Drosophila melanogaster: one gene and its partners. The protein of the gene in region 3 interacts with the protein of the main gene of each other region in a pairwise test. Each region holds a gene or a part of one and is shown on either strand. Other genes may lie near its edges. The genes, in order: Alh, Atf3 and CLIP-190.

Region 1 (6,350 bases), on a different chromosome or scaffold from region 3:
TGCTGCTTCCAGCAGAGATTCCAGCACTGGAGCTTGCATTCAAAACATTGCTGCTGCCACCAGCACTGCCACTGCTGCTGGTAATCTTTATGATTGTGGCCGAAGTTGTCGCGGAGTTCATGGTTGAATCGATCTCCTTCTCGGGCGACGAACACGAATCGGAAGAGGTGTCATGTTGAATGGGTTTATATGGAGGTATTGTTTTGACGTTGCCGCCCTTTTTCTGCAAAGTATCAAGAATTTGAACGGAAAAATCACGAATGCTATCCCTCACATACGCACCAGTTTGCTGTAATGGTGCTGACAGTAGCCGCAGTACTTCACATTATCCAGATAGTTACCAGCCTCCTCGCAGAGCAATCCAAGGCTCTGGGCGCAGGTGACGTGGAACTGCTGCTTGCAATTCGATTTGTTGCACTGCATACAGGCGCCAACATTGGCACGATTTGGTTTGCCAATTTCCTGGCAAATATAGCAAGCTGAAAATGGAAACGGATTGTAATTAATTATTGCCATTTAGCTAAGGCTAGTTTAACAAACAGGGGTTATAATTTTTCAATGAGTAACATTTTTTAAATAATATATGTAAATATAAAACATTTAAACATAGCTTACTCTTCGAGTACCGCTCCTGCGGTATTAATGACAATATGATGGGCTCCATGGTGGTCACATTCCCAAATCGCACCTCTGGGATGTACAGGGCGCAAACAACGTGCGCCCACCCGCTATTATCCGTCTTCTTAAGGGCGCCATCCCGCGAGGGACATAGTTCGCATCGGACGCGAGAGGTTCGCTCCTGGGACTCGCACTTGCGACAGTACCAGGGTCCAGTGGGAACCGTCACAATGCCATAGCACGCCTGGTGCACTGCCACAGTACAGTTCTGGCCGTCACAGTAGACGAGCGGGTTCTCCGGCCACCCCCGCTCGTCTGAACAAACGCAACAGCCGCCCACCATCTCCTTCATATCGTCCAACTTGAACTTTTTAATCTTGACCAGCTTCTTGTTCAAGCTTGTGGAGTGAATGGTGTCGTCTTTGCTGGAGTCTAGCTCCAGTTTCGCATTGAATGAAGACGGAATTTTGTTGGAGCTGCAAGTATATATATATATATATATATATATATATATATATATATATATATATATATATATAATATAAGAATTTTCCTTAAGTAAAAAGAGGATTTTTAAAACTCAATATATTTGGGTCCAATTAACGTTACCAGAGGAGCGTTGAAAGTTGAGCGAAAAGTTGAACATACATAAGTATGATGCACTTACGAATCTTCTGAATTTTATTTGTAATAGTATTTCTAATAAAAACAACGACTTTTTACCAAATTTGTATGGAATTAGCAGTAAAATTTATAAGAAATTTATTTGTTCAGCTTTCCTTATCAAGAAAATAAGCATGCTCTTTACTTTTTTCTTTCACATTTTTGTAATAATTTAAAGAACGTAGAGTCTATATAAAACATTTTTTATCAGAGCTCCGCTCCACCCCGCTCGAAGTCGACGATCTTGAGATAGAGGTTCCGGCCTTTCTCGTTATCGATAATATGCTGCTATCGAGGCAGGTGTCTATTGGCAAGGTCATTCGCACTCGGTTTTTCCACAATAACATCAACAAAAACAGTAGCCCTATAAAATATTATACCTAATTGTGCGCTTGTATTTACAACTTGGCCTTCGAAGCGAGAGCGAGAGAGATGGCACATGGAGCCCCGTTCGCAGAACATTTACACGCACACACAAATAATCTCTCAATGTCAAGGTAATTTTGCCGCTGCTTAATAATACATGCTAATTATGTATGTCGAATCATTTAAATAAAGACGGCCGAAAATATAAACAGCTATGCCACCGAATATTGATAGGAGGTTTTAGCACAGCAATACGAACAACAAATATTTTTAACTTTCACAAAACGGGCAACGCACACACAAACACTCTCTTCTGCGGCATTCCGTGGGCTGGTGTTGGTTCATTGAACCTGATTTAAATGGGCTACCAAAAATAAAACAGGAAAATGCAGCCCTGCCCCGAATCCAATTGGATGTCGATTTGGTCCCAATGTGCGATCGAACGCAAATATGTGGGTCGCGGAGATTTCACAACAACAACGGCAATTATTATAATAATAATAATAACGGCATGCGGGTGCTGTTTCTGTTTCATTCATGCATGCGCATCTGTGCGAGAGATCGCGGCGGAGGAGAGTGCGGGTCTAGTTGTACCGTTATTGGGTCAGCGTGTTGCCAACTGCCGAAAAAGAAAAACGCAGCCAGCGTGTTGCCAACAGCGGGTTAGCTGGAGTTCTCTAACTTAACGGTGTAAAATCACACACACTTGGCCATATGAAACGAGGCCGCTCTGCACGTTGCTTTTGTAATGAAGAGCAATGCACTTTCGACACAAGCAAACACACACTGTCGTCAGGCAGAACAGATACATACACACGCACGCGGGGAGATGCTACATTAATGTTGACGAAATGCCGGAAAAGGGGGCGCGCTTTTGGGGGGTGGAATACGGGTGGGTGTGTGTACATGTATATATGTACCCCATTTAAAACATCCTTCGGGGGAGTTTTTGGGGACTGGAGGGTAGTTTCTCCCAGTTTCCGCAACTCGTCTCTTAAAGCACTGCTTAAATTTCCTTCAAATTGTGTGTATACCCGTGGCTTGAATTTATTGATTTTTATGGGCAATTGCTTTAATTTCACTGGCCAGCAGGGCTTTAAAACGTCATCAGCGGTGTGCCACCAAACAAAAAGAAACTAGTTTCACGGCGGGGAAAATGCGCGCGGTCAAAGTCGTCAAGCAACGCACAACAAAAACAGAAAATATCTATTTTTTTCAGGGAGCGGTCTATCGAAAACTTGAAATTCTTTCGACTTTCTTGCTATTTTCACGCAGAGGTTTCTTATTGGCCGCTAGCACCCTCACAGAATATTGATTTTCTAAATTTCTTTACCCAATTTGGCACTTTAAATAAATGGTTTCCAGCCCGCAGCTGTGGGTTAGCGTTTATCTAGCTTTTCGTGGCTTTTCTCAGCACTTTTCCGCGTCTCACAGTCTTCACAGCCGCCCACGAGTAGCAAACGCACGCAAGTAAAATAATCAACACTCAAAAAAGGCGCTGAACAACACCATCCACCAGCGCAACAACAACACTGTGTGCGCGAGTATTTACAACTACAGCTACAACAACACCAGCAGCACACACCACTCCACACACCTTGTAACTTGTTTGTTGTTGTTTCGCTCGCACATCGGGAGCGAGCAGTGCGGGCGCGAGAGGGAGACAACACCACCTGCTCTGTATACAAATGCAGCTTAGTGGATACAATTTTGCTGGATGCGCGGTTTTTCCAATTGCCCGAATATCGCGAAAAGCTTGCAATTCCGAGACGTTCCGCGTTTTCCTTCTATGCAGACAGGTTTTTGAGCATTTTAACGCCGAAACAAGAAAAACCTCGGTTACCAGACGAATGGGCAGATTTCTAGCGATGGGTACTTTATCAGAGAAGGGTAAAATGCTTAGAGATGGGATGCGACTTGTCTGCATTTTTCCAGATTCAAAGGAAAACCCGATATTCATTATAACTTCCCTCTCTTATTCAATGCTGCTAATTATGGTGTAAATGAAGGTTGTAATTTAAGTAAATCGAATTCTTATTGGTGTTGGATCATAGTATTGTCAACATTAATGCTCGTCATTTAAATAATGGAGATGTATAAGGAAATATTTTATATATAGAACACTAAAATACCTAATCCTTATAGTTCTTTTAGAATTCTCCATACTAAACAAATAAATAACGTCCGATGTTGCCAGACGAGTCAACGGCTCATCGCCACGGTTCATTTCCACGATATATATTGGGCAGTGTTGAATAACGTTTGAACCTTAAACAGCTGTGGGAAAAATCAATTTTGCAACTCCCTCGCGCACTTCTGAAGAAACTTCTTCGCGAGAAAAGCACGGATAAAAATGACCAACGGTGACTGCTTTGTTGTTCTGCCCGAGAACTGTGCCGAAGGAACTTTGATCATCGGTCGCAATGCGGAGGACGAAAAAAACGTCAACGTTGCTTCGGAGGTTTGCTTCTACGATGCCACCGAAGTGCTTGAGGGGAAGGTAAAGACAGACTCCTCCGAAAACGAAGCTCGATCAATGACTCACCACCCAAACACCTCACATTTCAGACTGACGGTGGAGCTTCTGCCGAGACAGGCGGCGATATGTTGCGTGTTATATTGCAAAAACCGCAGCCGGGTCTCTGGGGTGGGGACTTCGGGGCCAATGAACGCGGAGTGGCCCTAGGTCTTACCTGGGCGGCAGGTGAAAACGAGGCCAAGGACAGCGACAGCCTGCTGGGCACGGATATAGTGCGGTAAGTTCTCTTTCAATATCTGCGTATCAACAAACTATGCACAACAAAGCAAATTATTTGCACTTAATATAAATAACTTTCATCACTAAAAATGTATGTACATATGAAGTCTATATAATGCAGAACGTAAATACTTATTCAAAGGATGACATTTTGTGGCTGATGTTTGTAATTAGCATTCCAATCCTTTCGTGTCCTTTAGGGCTTATTAATGCTTGAAGATACTATTATTTCAACATTATTTCATAAGTTAATTAAAAACGAATCAATCAGAAATTTAATGTTGTCGAGAAACTAAGGCTTTTACAATTATTATAAATCATGAAATAATAAATCATCTAATAACTTTTTTGTAGCTTGACTTTGGCTGTCGCCAAAGATGTGGACGATGCTGTAGACCGGATTGGAGCTTTGGTGGCCAGTCACGGTCACGACAACTCCAAACTAAACTTCATCGCTTGCGATGCAGCTGCTGCCTGGCTTGTGAGTTGCTCTGGCAAGGTATGGGCCGCTGAGAAATTGGAGGCCAGCTTCTTGCGTTTGCCCTCCGGAGGACTGGCTGTGACCACTGTGGTGAACAAGTCAAGCGAGGGATTAGATGACGCTGCCAGTTTTGCCGCTGCTCACGATGCAGAGGCCCAGGCCCCGGCAGTGGATTGGTGTGGTCCCAAGCCAGCTGGCGATGGAACATATACCCAGCACGACATGTTCGAGACGCTGCGATCCGCCAGTAATGCGAGCAGCTCGAGGGCGGCTACCGTTTCGGTGCTGTCGGTGAAGGGAATCTCATGCCATTGGTTCACCGGGACGCCCAATGCCGCCGAGTCTGTGTTTAAGCCGTTCGTTTTTGCCCCAAATCCGAGGATCTCGCCGCTAACCCAAGTGCAAGCGGAAGCGGACTTGACGTTGCTGCACAAGCTACACTCGCAACGCAAGCCGGCCGCCTTGGAGCACTTGCGCAGCTTGGAGCTCTCCTGCGTGGACGAGCTAAATAACTATTTCTCTCTGCAGGATCACGCCAGTGACGAGCTGGACGAACTGCTCAAGGACTGTGTCGAGGCGGAAGTCAAGTTCTATCGCTAGACCAACGAATACTATCTATATGGATACTCCAAAAACTAGCTTGCAAGCTCTATTGAGCATCGGGATTTGACTTGAGCATTCTTATGGCATTACCAAATAGGCTTTAGTCGTCAAAATATTTTCTTGTGCAATCTCTACTGATTTTATTTCGTTTAGTTTTTATGCTTTTGCGTGATATTTAAATTATTATTTATTCTGTCTCAGTGGGCAATCTCCGACTTGAATTTAAAGTATTATTGTGTGACATTCCAGGCTTAGTTTAACGATTTACATACTTGCATTCAAATATATATGAATACATATACAAATATACATTATATATGGCTCTCAAATAAACGCATAAAATCTGCATTTATACAAAAATTAAAAGGGCTTGTCGTATTTGGATACTTATTTTAGGATTCCTTTTTTTTTTATTACAAAGTGATTTAGAAGCGAAATGAATTGATAATTTAAATTGAAAAATGACAAGATAATTATTTTATTTAGCCCCACTCTAAACATGTATTTACAAAAATGGTCAGCCTGATCTGATTCAATCAATTCCCAATATCGTCAGAGTTAGAAATTATTCAGATACAGCGAGATACAAATTCATTTTCACATTAATTGACCTATTCGTGTTTTTAGACGGATTCTACAACCAAATTGGTCTTAAAAATAGTGCTATCATTGTGCAAGGCCTCTAGTTTTGTAATTTCAAATGACTGGTAAATCTCGCGGAAGTCCATAATGTTTCGTGGGTCGCTCTCCATCCAAAAGCGGTCAAACTCGAAGAACAGATAGCAGTACAACTTGTGGAAATCCTCCACGGTGCTAAAGTCCTGTCTGTGCTGCACCACCAAATTGTAGAAGTGGGTTTTG
Region 2 (6,204 bases), on a different chromosome or scaffold from region 3:
TTTTACGGCTTCGCATTTTGGACTGTCGACAAGTTGACAAATGGCAAACCGGTTTGGCTTTTGGCCAAGCTCTAACTCCCATGCCCATCCGCTCCCATCCATCCCTCTCTCCCCAAAAGCAACTAACACTTATTTGGAACGAAGTAAATATATAAATAAATGTATAAATACTCGTTAGCAAATCAAAATGCATACGAAATTTCAACAAATATCCAAACGGGCGAAGAAAGCGCGTAGGCGAGCCGGCATCGAATCGGGAATTATATTGGGAATTGCGATTGAAAACGGGAATCGCAGCGAGGGCTAGACTCTAAGTGCGAGCATCAATTGGCTAATCAATTTGCCCAAAAGTGAATTGAACAAATTAAGCTGATTGCCAGTCGAATGCGACGAATGCGGGCCTCGCTGGTTACCACCCTTCATCCGACGATTACACGCCGGCATTTTCAGTTGCGTTCGGTTGGCTTGGGGCTACTGCGCATAGAACAACTACCTGATAGTTTCATGTACTTGGGAACAACTGGGAACAGTGCACCTGTGGAGCTGTCTGAACATCCTTATAGCAGCGTATGGAAGGGGGAATGGTCCACCTAGATTCCACCGGGTTCCATGGGGGCTTACTTGTTGATGCCATTCCCACACCTCCGTCCCTCATCAGTGCATGTTTGCTATATAGCATATATGTACATACATATAGTATTGGTCAAATCTGATGAAATGTTTACATTTGCCGCTTGCATTGCGCACTGCCAAACGAGGGGGACTCGAGGGGGTTCTCGTATTTGTATTTGCTTGCGGTGACAATTTTCATTGCTTTGGGAGCACACATGTGCTTGCATTCATACGTTTTTGTGGAAATTATTCACGAAAACGCCTGACAGTTTTGTGTCGCTCGCCGCAACTTTTGACAGCTACCTCCGCTCGCATCGAATGGATTTTGTATTCGTATTCGGGGATGGCAGCGACTGACTTGACTAGCTGAAAATTGGGATTGGGATGGCATGGATGGTACATATGTATATGCTATATGGTTGGCTGCTCGGCGGCTCCGTTTCGTTGGCTGGCAAGGCCATAAACTAAGCCCAACTCCCAGACTTCCAGCTTCAGTCCGGGGTTCATTAATGCGCACTATGTGCTTAAAACGCCATTTGGGCGTTAGCCGACTGTCTTTCCAGCTGTCTCTCTTTTGTGAACAGAAGTGGATCTCAGACACTCGGAAAAATGGCTCAAGGGCCAGAAGAAAACTGTGCATTCTTTTAGCTCTAAATGTGTTTAATTAAAAAACAAAATGCCTAATAACTTATTTCATCATTGTATGAAGTGAATACAAGATGAATACAATTAACAATAATAATACAAGGCCCATTGATTTTTTTTCAGTGATCACACATGTCCCAAACATCTTGGTTCTGTTTTTCTTTCATTTTTTTTTTCTTTTTTGGAACATTAGACCCCTCCCAGCCAGTTCCTCCTCCCCCTTTGACAGTTACTGTATCTACTGCGTCTTCGACTGTCGGCTGTTGTAGCGAACTGCCAACAATGGGCATCATTCATCGCTCATTCACTGGCACTCGCTCCGTGGCTCTGTGACTCTGTGGCACAGAGCGTGCACATTGTACGCACTGTACATGGGGCAGTCCTTTGGCACAACCCCCCATATCCAACGAGGGGGTTGCCCCAGACTGGGGTGTGGCATATTCCGCAATTCTATGGCATAAATTTGCTGGCGATAAAATGCGCAACTGGCAACACGATTTGGGATAAGTCCTTCGGATTGCGAGGCCAGAATTCCAAAGGGGTGGCGACTAGTCCGCCAGTACACCACTTGGCAGGGTGGGGCAGTAATGGCCGGGGTTGAACATAAAAAAAAACATTTATTAATGAATGCATCATGCAAGGGAGGGCGGCAAAATATTTCGCCAAATTGTCCATAAATCCAATTGGCGATGGCTGTATCTGTATCTATAGCATTTGGCTATCTGCGACTGCCTGTGCACGTGTGCGAATCTGTGTGCGCCTGCAGCACAGCAGCTGATTAATAAAAGCCAGCGAACGGATGAAAGAGGGAAAACACCTGTTAGCCCCAGTGCCTGTGTGCCTTCTTCGGTGAAATTGCTTGCACATTTTGTATTTAGCATTTGGATATTTGATTGAATATGTTTCACACTTTACCCACGCCTTATCTGGTCTACTAAAATGGGAAATAAAAACTCATGTCTGTGCTATCTATCATTCATTACAAACTAACATCTTCGGAGTTCAATCAATGAGTTGTCTTTTAGTGTGGTTATTAAGAAATGAATGATTCTACGCGCAACGAATACCTCGCTCGTATTTACTTTCATTATCAATAGAGCCAATGAATCGGTGAAATGCGAAATCCAAAACGATATGTGGGTACTTGAGTTGAGTATTCCCGACGAATGTATTCAGGTTCGTGGGGATTTCAATGGGTGTTACGTCTTCGCGAACTCCACCCTGACCAGCAAGGGACCTTTGGTCACTGTTCCCTCAATCGGGGAAACTTTTCTAGTCACGAGAGATGGCAATATCGTTTGGGGGATCGAAGACCTTGTTTGCTTGCGGTCAGTTTGCGATAGTGTGCGCAAATGTGTGAGGAAAGTCACGTACTTGGGGCAGGGTCGAGGTGGATAATTTAGGGTTCAGTGTCTCACCTGCTGGAAAATCTCTCTCTCGCTCCAAGAGCAGTTCTGCCCATCTGATTGTCGCTGGTGCGTTTCGTTGGCCTTTCGGCAGGCGGACACCTGTTTGGGCCTCCCTTGCTATCAGTTTTGAATGGGGTCTTTGCGAAAAGGGTGGGGGGACTTGTAACACTTGGTTTTGTACCACTAAAGCGTGATGCTTTTGCAAGGCATTTTGGTAGTTGTTGTTGTTGTTGTCGTTTAAAGCACTTAATGGGTTCAACACTTCAAAAAAATATTATTAAATCTCTTAGATTTTAAGGCGATATTAATTATATGTATTACTATGTACGTTTTTCTTCAATATCGCATTTAACACTTGCGTATCGCGGATTTTTTTTGGGGGGCTTAGTTTGTATTTTTAAGGGGGATTTTGTATTTTCGATTTGTGTTTTTGGTTTGTGTATTTCAGTTTTTAGTTTCCGCTGCGCATTTGTAGCGATTCAGAGTTGCTCACACGATGAATCCAACACGTTGAATAAAAGTTCGAGCGACGTTCAAATTCGCTTAAAGCCAATAAGTCAGCCAGCGGCAGCGACGTCGGCAGAGGAGCGACTGCGCCACAGTGCGATTCTAACGGCGCGAGAACGAAGAAACGGATGGCAACTGAAACGGCCAAAGGCGCGGCCGACCGACCGACCGTCGATGTGCTGTGCTTGTGCTTGTTGTTTGTGTTCTAAGTCGGAGCCGCCATAAAATCTAATAAGAACGGCAGTGCCAGTGTCAGTGGATGTGGATGTGGCTGTGCCTGTGAAACGGGGTGGAGCGGAAAAGGGTGGGTTGGTGGAGCGTCGGCTCGCTGTGGCGGCGTTGCGTTCGAGTCCGGTTGACGCGAAGCACTGCCAACCGACCGACGCGCCGTTTTGACGGCCCGACGGACCGGCGGAACGATTGGCAACGGGCTGCGGCAAACAAATAAACAAACGCACCACAAACATTGCCCAGGGGCGTTGTTACATCCACATGGTGAATGCTCAAGGGGGTATGGCCACGATATAAACTGATATATGTACACATTGCAACTACGATGAAATATTACTCAACAATTATACAGTTAAGATGAGTTATCCCTTACATCTGCAAGATACATTTGGATTGGACACCGACATCCGCCCAGCGTTCATAGATTCCACAGCAAGTGTACTAAATGTAAAACCCCTCATTATCGGACGCAACTGACTTTTGGAAGTGGAAACGGAACAGTAGCGTAGATATCCGAAAATTGAACGCGTATGTGTGCGAGTGCGAGTGTTTGGCTGCTCTACACTAGTCGGCTTTTGTCTGGAAGCAGAGCCGAAAGCAAAAGCCACAAAGCTTCGGCCAAGAAGGCAGAAGAATTTGGGTAGGTGGGGAAATTTGCGAAGCAACGACTACTTATCAAATGGTACATTTTGCCTTTGAGCCGGCGCATTGAGCAGGGAATCTTGTGACCGACCAGCCACTAAACACTAACCACCTCCCACGCCACCCATTTCACTGTCACTTGCGGAACGTTTGGAATCGGAATCGCTGTGCACACTCATGCACACTAGCATTTCAAATGCAGCGACGTCGACAGCGGCGCCGTGACCTTGAAAATGCTTATGTTCAGTCCTTCGCTCACTCTCTTTGGAGCTTAGAAGGCATGCGCAACCGACTGAGTTGCACGATCTGAAAACTGAGCTTGGCTTACACGATCGAAATAAATTTAAGGAGGCCTATAGCCACACATTTGTTAACATACTCGTATGTAATTGTTGCATAAAAGTCCACAGCTCATGGACTGTGATAAGGAAGCCACCGTTATCCGTTATCGGCTATCGGTTATCAGCTAACGGTGCATGAAAAGGTGGCAAAAGACAGACGTGACTAGCTCAACTTGGCCAAAAGGAAGAAGTGGAAGGGGTTGCAAGAAGGTGTAAGGCCATTTCTTAATATCCAATCGCCTTTGCAATGGAAATGTCCGATTGAGATTTAAGCACCGGCAAAAAACGCCGGCTACAATAGCACACGAAAACAATAACAAATGCTCAAGCTGCTGGCGAGAGAGAGAGAGAGAGAGGAAAAGAGAGAGTCCGATGGTGAGAGAGAGGGCACTGCCAACCGGCTGTGTTTATGTTTCATGTCATTCCGTTCCGTTCCTCACTCACTTTGTTTGTCCCACTCACGTTTCCACGCGACCGCCGAAAGAGCGGCGAAAAGCGAAAGCTTCGTGGCGCTTCGTGTGGACTCGTCCGCCTTCGGCCCCCTGAATGTACAGTGTGTTCTAAAAATAGAGCCTGACTCGCATCATACGCGGACCCCATTCGCCGACGATCTCGTCACCTGCTCGCCGATTGGCCAGCGGGCTCCAATAAAGCCAAAAGCAACAATAGCAAAAGCAATAGCAATAGCCACAACAGCTTTGAGAAAATACGAGTGTTGGAAGCAACACAGAAAAGTTCTATCTCGCCGTCGTCGCTGTTGGCATCTAATAGCGAATTTATAAAGGAATAAAATGAGCATTAAAAAGTGCCAAACGGCGCGGGCGAGCACATGGACGTCGGGTTGGTATTGCGGGGGTACTGGCAGGCATTGGGGTTCGGGCTCGCAACGGTGGTGCGGTGGCATATGGAAATTGATGCAGCATCTGCGCCGTCCGAAGCGTGCCAAAAATTGCCCCAATGAAAGTGCCTGGCGGAGCACAGTGGAGTTCGATCCAATAGGACTCTCTTTCGTGACCGAGCAAAACTAGGCATTAATAGCTTGTCCTTGAAATTTCCATAAAAGCGAACACATTCATAAATTTTACATTTGTTTCTACCAAGCCCATCCACACTGCTGCTAGTCACTTGCGCGCCATAGTACCCACCGGCCTCCGAGTGGACCGCACTTGTATGTACGTCCATACATATACATGCATATGTAGCTTTCCCACACCGAGTGGGCACAGCGAAGATTACAAGCGACGTTTCTGTGGCCGCTGTGCGCCTGTTCGCACCTCGCAACTGCAGTGGGAGAAGCTCAGCCATGTGCGTGTGTGGGTGTGCAGTCGGGCTTGGGGTTGGGGTTAGGTTCCCCGCTCATCCAACTCTCCCTGGACGACAATTTGAGTTGTCAGTTGTTGCTGCACTCGCATTTACAGCCAAAGCTTTGCCTTAATGAATTACTGAATTGTGTTATGTAAGGGAACAAGGAACGGGCCTTCTCGGGGAATCGACCCGGGTAACACCCAGTACATCCTCCGATAGGTCCAGTGAATCCCTTTCTGGGGTTCGTGTAGAGCAGAGGTTAATCACTTCCAGCGACTATTTCTGTGCGCTCTCTTCATTTGTATATATGTATGTACAAATGTAAATGCAAAATAGAATTAATCATTGCACACTAACAAAACCCATAAAAAATCAACTTAACAGCAATTAAGAGTGTCTAGGTCGCTGGGTCGTCTTGCTGATACCCAACACTCAAGTGGGTTATTTACGTATCTGCTCCCTGGACTCGTTGGGATCTAACAAAGTCAATCTAAAGATAATCACCAAAATGT
Region 3 (6,287 bases):
GGTGAATTTTCTGGGTGGGTATTTCCCATTTACTATTTCTCCGCTGGTGCATATTTTTTGGTCCTAACAAAAACGAAAGTTGGTTGAACTTCGACAAAATTTTCGTGCCGGCTGCGGCGAAAATAAAAATAAATAAGGATAACACGAATAGTGCAAAGTGGCGAAGAGCGAATAACGGCGGTAATTATTGTCCTTGAGCGCAGTCCGAAAAGGGAGAGAATGGGAGAGCCGCAGAGAGAAAGAGCAGCTGATGGGAGGACAGAAAAGGAGGAAAAGGATGAACCTCCGACGGCTGCTGCAAATTATTGATTTTCAAGCAACAAAAGGAAAATTCGCCACTGCAATGGAGATGGAAAAACTTCGTTAGCTCACCGGCAACAAACCTCCTTTGCTTAAATGCCGCACCCTAAAGGTATACACATACGCCAAACATTTTCGATAAGCAACTAATTTAATTGCTTTATCAGTACTTGTACATATGTAAACTCTACTTTTACTTTTTCTGACGTCAAAAGAAAACTTTATAACTAACAATTTTCTAATCAACTTTAATACCATTTAACTTTGTAATATAAAAATGTATGCTTTTTCCAATAAAATGTTATTAACTTCGTACATTAAGTATTATTAAGAACAGTTTAAACTTTACTTAGGAAGTAATGAAAACCCAATTTTTTCCGGAGCTACGAAACCGGCTTGAAGAACACCTTTTCTTTGTTCTCCCTTACGAATATACACTATACAATAGCGGTACGCACCTGCGATGACAGTGTCGGTAAGTGAGTACTTCGTTCCAGTCCTGGGAAAGTCCTTCAGCTTGCGATTGGTCAGGATCAGTTCGCCGCTGAAGTGCGCTTCTTCCAGGATTCTTTCCAGGGAGCGCGTCAGCTGGGAATGACTAAGCAGGGCAGACGAGGTGGAGGAGGAGGTGTTTCCAGCGTGGCCTATTCCAGATCCCGATCCTGTTCCAGATCCTGGAAGGGAAGCCGACCCGCTGCCGATGGCGCTGCCAGCGGCGCTGCCGACGCCGACTGCGACGCTATGTAGGCGTTGGTAAACCGTTGCTGCCATTTCCCGTGTAGGCGTGGCGACACTTCCACACACTTGCACACACACACGCACGCGCTAAACTATCACACCGATAAGGAAACGGAGTGAAGTGCCGAAAGAAACCGAAACTGGAAACTAAATTTGCTCTATTGAAACGCACGCATCTCGATTATTTTTCATTTAGTGTACGTCTTCTTGGCTCATTGATAAGATTTCTCGGAATTGGATTTTCCTTTTGCGGCTTCCTTCTTGCTTCCTCTTCTTTGCCTCCTCGCACACACGCGCACTCACACACGCACAAGCTCACGCAGCAGACGAGCGACAGTGCACAACGAAAATCGAAAAACAACTGAATCGGTTTATGGGATGCTACTTGGGCAGCGCTGGAAACGTTGCTGTTAGTTTAAAATCGGCGTGCCTTTGAGTACTATCGATAAAATACCACAGTGCGCCGATGATACACTGGCTCCATTTTTATCGCAATTCGAAATGTCAACAATCTTACATTTTATAATGTAATGTAATGTTTGTTTATTCAGAATGATCTACCGTTTAGCATTTGCCCCTTCAAATTTAGGGCATTATTAGATTACTGAGTCGTTATTACACCGAAACATTTCATATAACTACTTAAAGAAAAAATGAACAAATGACCAGGTAACCTGGTATTGGAACCCGGCAATAAACTGGTTGAATATTAAAAAACCATGTTAGACTAAATTATAAATTCGTTAATTTGTCAGTTGTGTGGGCTCAGATCACAAATCTGAATAAGCTCAGCGACGCTTCCATTATTGGTGACATAATTTCATATTTTACATATTTATATTCACGAATAAATATTCGCCAATTTCCTACAGGGTGTTTTTGTATGACCGCATTACTCTAAAAATACCTCGGGAAAATATAGCCGCAACTATCGATTGGCGCGCTGCACTGGAGCTGTGCTACCATCGCTAACTCAGTGCAACAACAAAATTCCAACGCAACGCCAACTAAGTGCAAAAAAAATCTAAAATTTGTGTAAAATTGTAAAATCCCAATCGCGTATATTTCTAAATCGTATTCGCACAGCACAGTATGTAAAGCACTCCAGTTTATTTAAGTACTGTGTGTGTGTGCGGTAAACACACACCAATAAGAGTGCGTTTTCGCGTCCCTTTTCCCACCCTCTTCTAATGGTTCCCTCTTCTATAACTGTGTCAAATCAGCAGCAACAATAAAATATAGAACAGAGCTACAGCGTGCGTGTGTGTGTGTGTGAAATGCACAAATTGATAAGCAATTTGATTCAATTTAATCTTGTTTAAGTCTGATGAATATCAGCGCAAGCAGCCCAACACAAAATTATAAATAAAAAGTTACGAATTTATATAAATAGAATACCCTTGAGTGATTTTGTTAGTCGCATAAAATTAATTCAATACATATTTGTGTTCCGCATTTTTTGAAAATATAACGAAGTTCTGGCCAACGAGAGCAACAACAAAAAGCGGTCTTGTTTGTTTTTCAAGCTCAACGAAAAAAAGAAGAAAAGAAATCTGCTCTCAGTCAGCTGTTTTAAAGCAGCCGCCTAAGTGCGAGTGAGATAGCTGCCTGCGCGCCAAAATAAAGCAACAACAAAAGTGGAACAGTGGTTCAAAACCTAGCTAAAAATAAAAAAAATCCATTTATTTTTGTAGCAAAAATATAAAATAAAAGCAAATTAAGCGAATTATACATATATTTGTTAAGGTAAGTGATCAGCATTCCATTTATTTTACCAAAAATTATTCTTTTGCACTTGTTTTTCCCCCAAGTTTTTTAAATCGTTTACTTTTAATACGCGTGTGTCCTAATAAGTGAAGATTATTAAGAATAAAGTAAAAAATGAGTGATGATACGAGCGCTTCGGGCGGGACAAGTGCCCCTTTTCCATCGCCAGTTACTGCGGACCCGGAACCAGGAGCCACTGCCTCCAAATTACCGGGTCCCATCAGATCCAATATTCCCACGCCCGCTACTTCTGGTACCGGAATCCCGCAGCCCAGCAAAATGAAGGCACCATCTAGTTTTGGATCGACGGGTTCTGTTTCCAAAATCGGAAGACCGTGCTGCAATCACACAACTCCCAAATCCGGTCCACCACCAAGAGGTAAGTCTAATCGCATTGTGCAACAACGCAAACCAGTTAGTATTATTGCTCAAAGCAAATATGTTACTAAGAGCAGTATTTTTGAAAGTAGTTAAAGGTCTTAATTATCCCCTGGGTTTAATTATCATCCATTTTACAAGCTAGAATTTAAAGCAAGATGAAATTAAAACACATCTGAACACCAATGGGAATTCAACCAGAGCCCCTTTGAAAATCTTGTCAGTGCATTGTCACATACATATTAACATCTTAACAAAGAACATTAATTTCACAATTCAAGAAAAGGGGTTTTTACCGATTTCCACTTTTATACGCGAGTTCTTCACTTATAAAACAGTTGGAAGAAGTCTGATAATTGAATTGCTCTCCGGAAAATATCGCAGTAAAATATGTTTCAATAGTATAGCCCACCACTATACTATCACCAAGTACTCATGAAGGTTAATATTAAAAAATGTACCCACATTCAAATGGGAAAACAGAAACCCAAAAAGAATGGTGAGTTTAAATAATGCACTTTTAAGTTTGACATTGTAAAGGGGTCATTTCATCAAGTTTACTTACTCTCTACCCTCAATACCCGAGATTTGACTACTTTTGTGTTTGCATCTTTGGCTCAAGCAAGTCAAGCATCCGCCTACATATATATATGTGCACCCACAAGATGTAGATTGCTGTATACTATAAGCGAATGCAATGATCTAATGGAAACGATGACAGACCCACTCACTTGCTAAATATATACATACATATACGCTGACCCCACCCCATTTGAGTGCACTTTTTGCACTACATTGAACTTGCAATTATTTCGGCGAGAACTCGCGTAGTTAGTGTAAATTCTTCTCTAAAGAGAAACCATTAATAATTCCCAGCGTCAACTGTTTCGTTTGGTAAACAAATGCTTCACTTCTTTCAATTATTTAATCGTTTTGAAACACCAACGCACAATTCAAAAATAAACAAAACAAATTGCCGCCCACTCTTAACTCTCGATCATAATTATAGAGCTGCCCCGAAAAGTGTTTTTGGTAAGGAGAATTATGGCCAATTAGGCAAGTGCTGCTACCATTTAATTGATCCGCCCAATGTGGCTCATTTCAGGCACGTAACCGCACCGCAGTCGTCAACATACGACGACCCACTGGCCCATATAGCAAACGATCTGCCAAACGATCCATGGATCGATTGACGGGTTTTCTATTTCGCCGGCACACACGTTCCATATCCGATTGACAGTCGCAATGCAACCGCAAAATCGTAGAAATTTATTCCCTGTAAATTTACCCAAAAACACAAAAATTTGTAATGTTTAGGGTTACAGAAAAAACTGAGTCACGAGGTGTATTTAATTTGCATCCATAGAAATAGTTTACACGGCGCTATGTGCACTGTGATCATTTAGATTATCACTTTGTATTAGATTGGTTTTGTAACTAGTTTGTTTGCCCATTTATACATTATTTTTAAAATCGTTTATTGGTCGTTTATTGCACATAATTATTAAACCTATTTCAGAAATTAAGCTGTTTGCTTGGCTCAATGAAAGTCCAGTTTGTTTTGATAGCTCCGAATTTTTTGCTTTAGTACATTTAAATTTCTACGCTGATTTGTTTCAAATACGCCAGTGTTGATCGCCATATCAAAGAGATTATTCCGCATTTTGCCAATTATTAACGAAAACGAAGTGATATACCGCATGTCCCAAATAGTTGAACTACTTTAGTCAATTAGTAGTTTATGCGACGCGCTGCTTAAAACCAAATCCGTTCCAAGCGCCTGAGCGCCTTGATCCGCTGCCCAGATCAGCTTTCTAAAATCTCTCCTAGCATTCTGGAACGGACTGTTTGACTATCTGCCAAGAGACCCGTCATTTGGCCCGCCATACTCAATGCCAAAAGTCTGCGAAAATCTACTCAGCTCAAATGCGACCGAGAAAACCTGGCGACCGGCCGGCAATCTATCTCTACGTCGTCGTTCCCTAATTGAATTTGTTCTGGCGATGACACAGAAAACGTACTCAAAACGTATCTTCTAGCTTGTTCGTGAGCTCAGATCTTTTGAGGTGTTTTTGCGCTGCGCATTTGATGCCGGGTTCCGTTCTCAGTCGATCTGATATGAAAATTGCGGTCGTGGTGCTCGTGGATGAGCTTATGTCACTTTTATTGGTTTCGATCGGAAACAAAAGTGAAGTGAGCCTCTCTCCCACCCATAAAAACGGAAAGCTCATTTGTCTTCGCATTAAGATTGAATCGAAAACGCGTTCGGGATTGACGTCCAATGGATGAGCATCGTCTGGCGGGGGATTACTCCATTCGATTCTAGATTGAGCCCAGTTCTGTTTACATCACCGACTCCGTGGGAGAGTCAATATTGATGTTATGATTAACCACTTTTTGTCTCACTTATTTGACTTCACATCATTAAGTCGTTGAAATCTTTATAATTGAAGACACGTGTTGCATATTTAAGCTGAAAACGTCTCGGGTTTCAGCCAACAGAAAACAGTATCTTCTCTTAAAAGGAATATATATACATATTCGATTTGATAAGTTATGTATTTGTTATAGTTTAGAAAATTTTATTAAATACGTGTTTCAATATTTCAATGCGCTTTTTTGTGCATTGTCTTAAAAGCTGATTCATAGATGAATCTAAAGATAATTGATTCTGATTAACTGGCATTTAGTCTCTGGAATTCATTGTTACAATCTCGTCAAGCAATTCTTAAATTGTTTTCCTACGTGTAAACTTTATATATAATTAGACACAACCCGGCGTTTAAAAACTTTATCGAATCTTTCAATAGCCACTTCAAACATCTTTAAAGAAAAAATAATAATTTTCCAAAACTTACATACTTTTTTATAATAAATTTCACTGCTTATAAATATTTATATTTTATGAAATATATAAGGTCACATAAGATTTCTTCCAAGTCGAAATCCAAAACATATTTGCCTATTAATTATTGAATACAACAAGAACATATTTTTTAGAGTTTTCAAAGCCAATATGGATTGTTAAAAAAACCCAAAAAGTGAAATTCCATTTTTTCGAACTCTTGCTTAGTTATTTTCATGCATTTACTGCACTTGTGATT

The links.
Region 1: the proteins of CLIP-190 (region 3) and Alh interact in a two-hybrid assay, tested with the Drosophila melanogaster proteins (one large-scale study listed by BioGRID).
Region 2: the proteins of CLIP-190 (region 3) and Atf3 interact in a two-hybrid assay, tested with the Drosophila melanogaster proteins (one large-scale study listed by BioGRID).

What each region holds. Positions count from the first base shown.
Region 1 is NT_033777.3:7,120,660-7,127,009, forward strand, and holds the start of Alh (alhambra), read right to left. Parts: upstream 3,527-6,350; 5' UTR 3,280-3,526; coding exon 3,245-3,279; intron 3,080-3,244; exon of another isoform or gene 2,981-3,079; intron 1,095-2,980; coding exon 616-1,094; intron 480-615; coding exon 283-479; intron 224-282; coding exon 1-223. Other genes in the region: CG10098 (uncharacterized protein), read left to right, coding at 4,001-4,147, 4,216-4,403, 4,760-5,486; CG10068 (uncharacterized protein), read right to left, coding at 6,113-6,350.
Region 2 is NC_004354.4:1,271,751-1,277,954, forward strand, and holds the start of Atf3 (activating transcription factor 3), read right to left. Parts: upstream 3,535-6,204; 5' UTR 2,676-3,534; intron 1-2,675. UniProt on the Drosophila melanogaster protein: Transcription factor which binds to the cAMP response element (CRE).
Region 3 is NT_033779.5:17,382,712-17,388,998, forward strand, and holds the start of CLIP-190 (cytoplasmic linker protein 190), read left to right. Parts: upstream 1-2,303; 5' UTR 2,304-2,784; intron 2,785-2,849; 5' UTR 2,850-2,919; coding exon 2,920-3,184; intron 3,185-3,434; exon of another isoform or gene 3,435-3,618; coding exon of another isoform or gene 3,619-3,682; intron 3,683-6,287. Other genes in the region: Lrch (Leucine-rich-repeats and calponin homology domain protein), read right to left, coding at 759-1,071. UniProt on the Drosophila melanogaster protein: Together CLIP-190 and jar may coordinate the interaction between the actin and microtubule cytoskeleton. May link endocytic vesicles to microtubules. May play a role in formation of furrows during cellularization.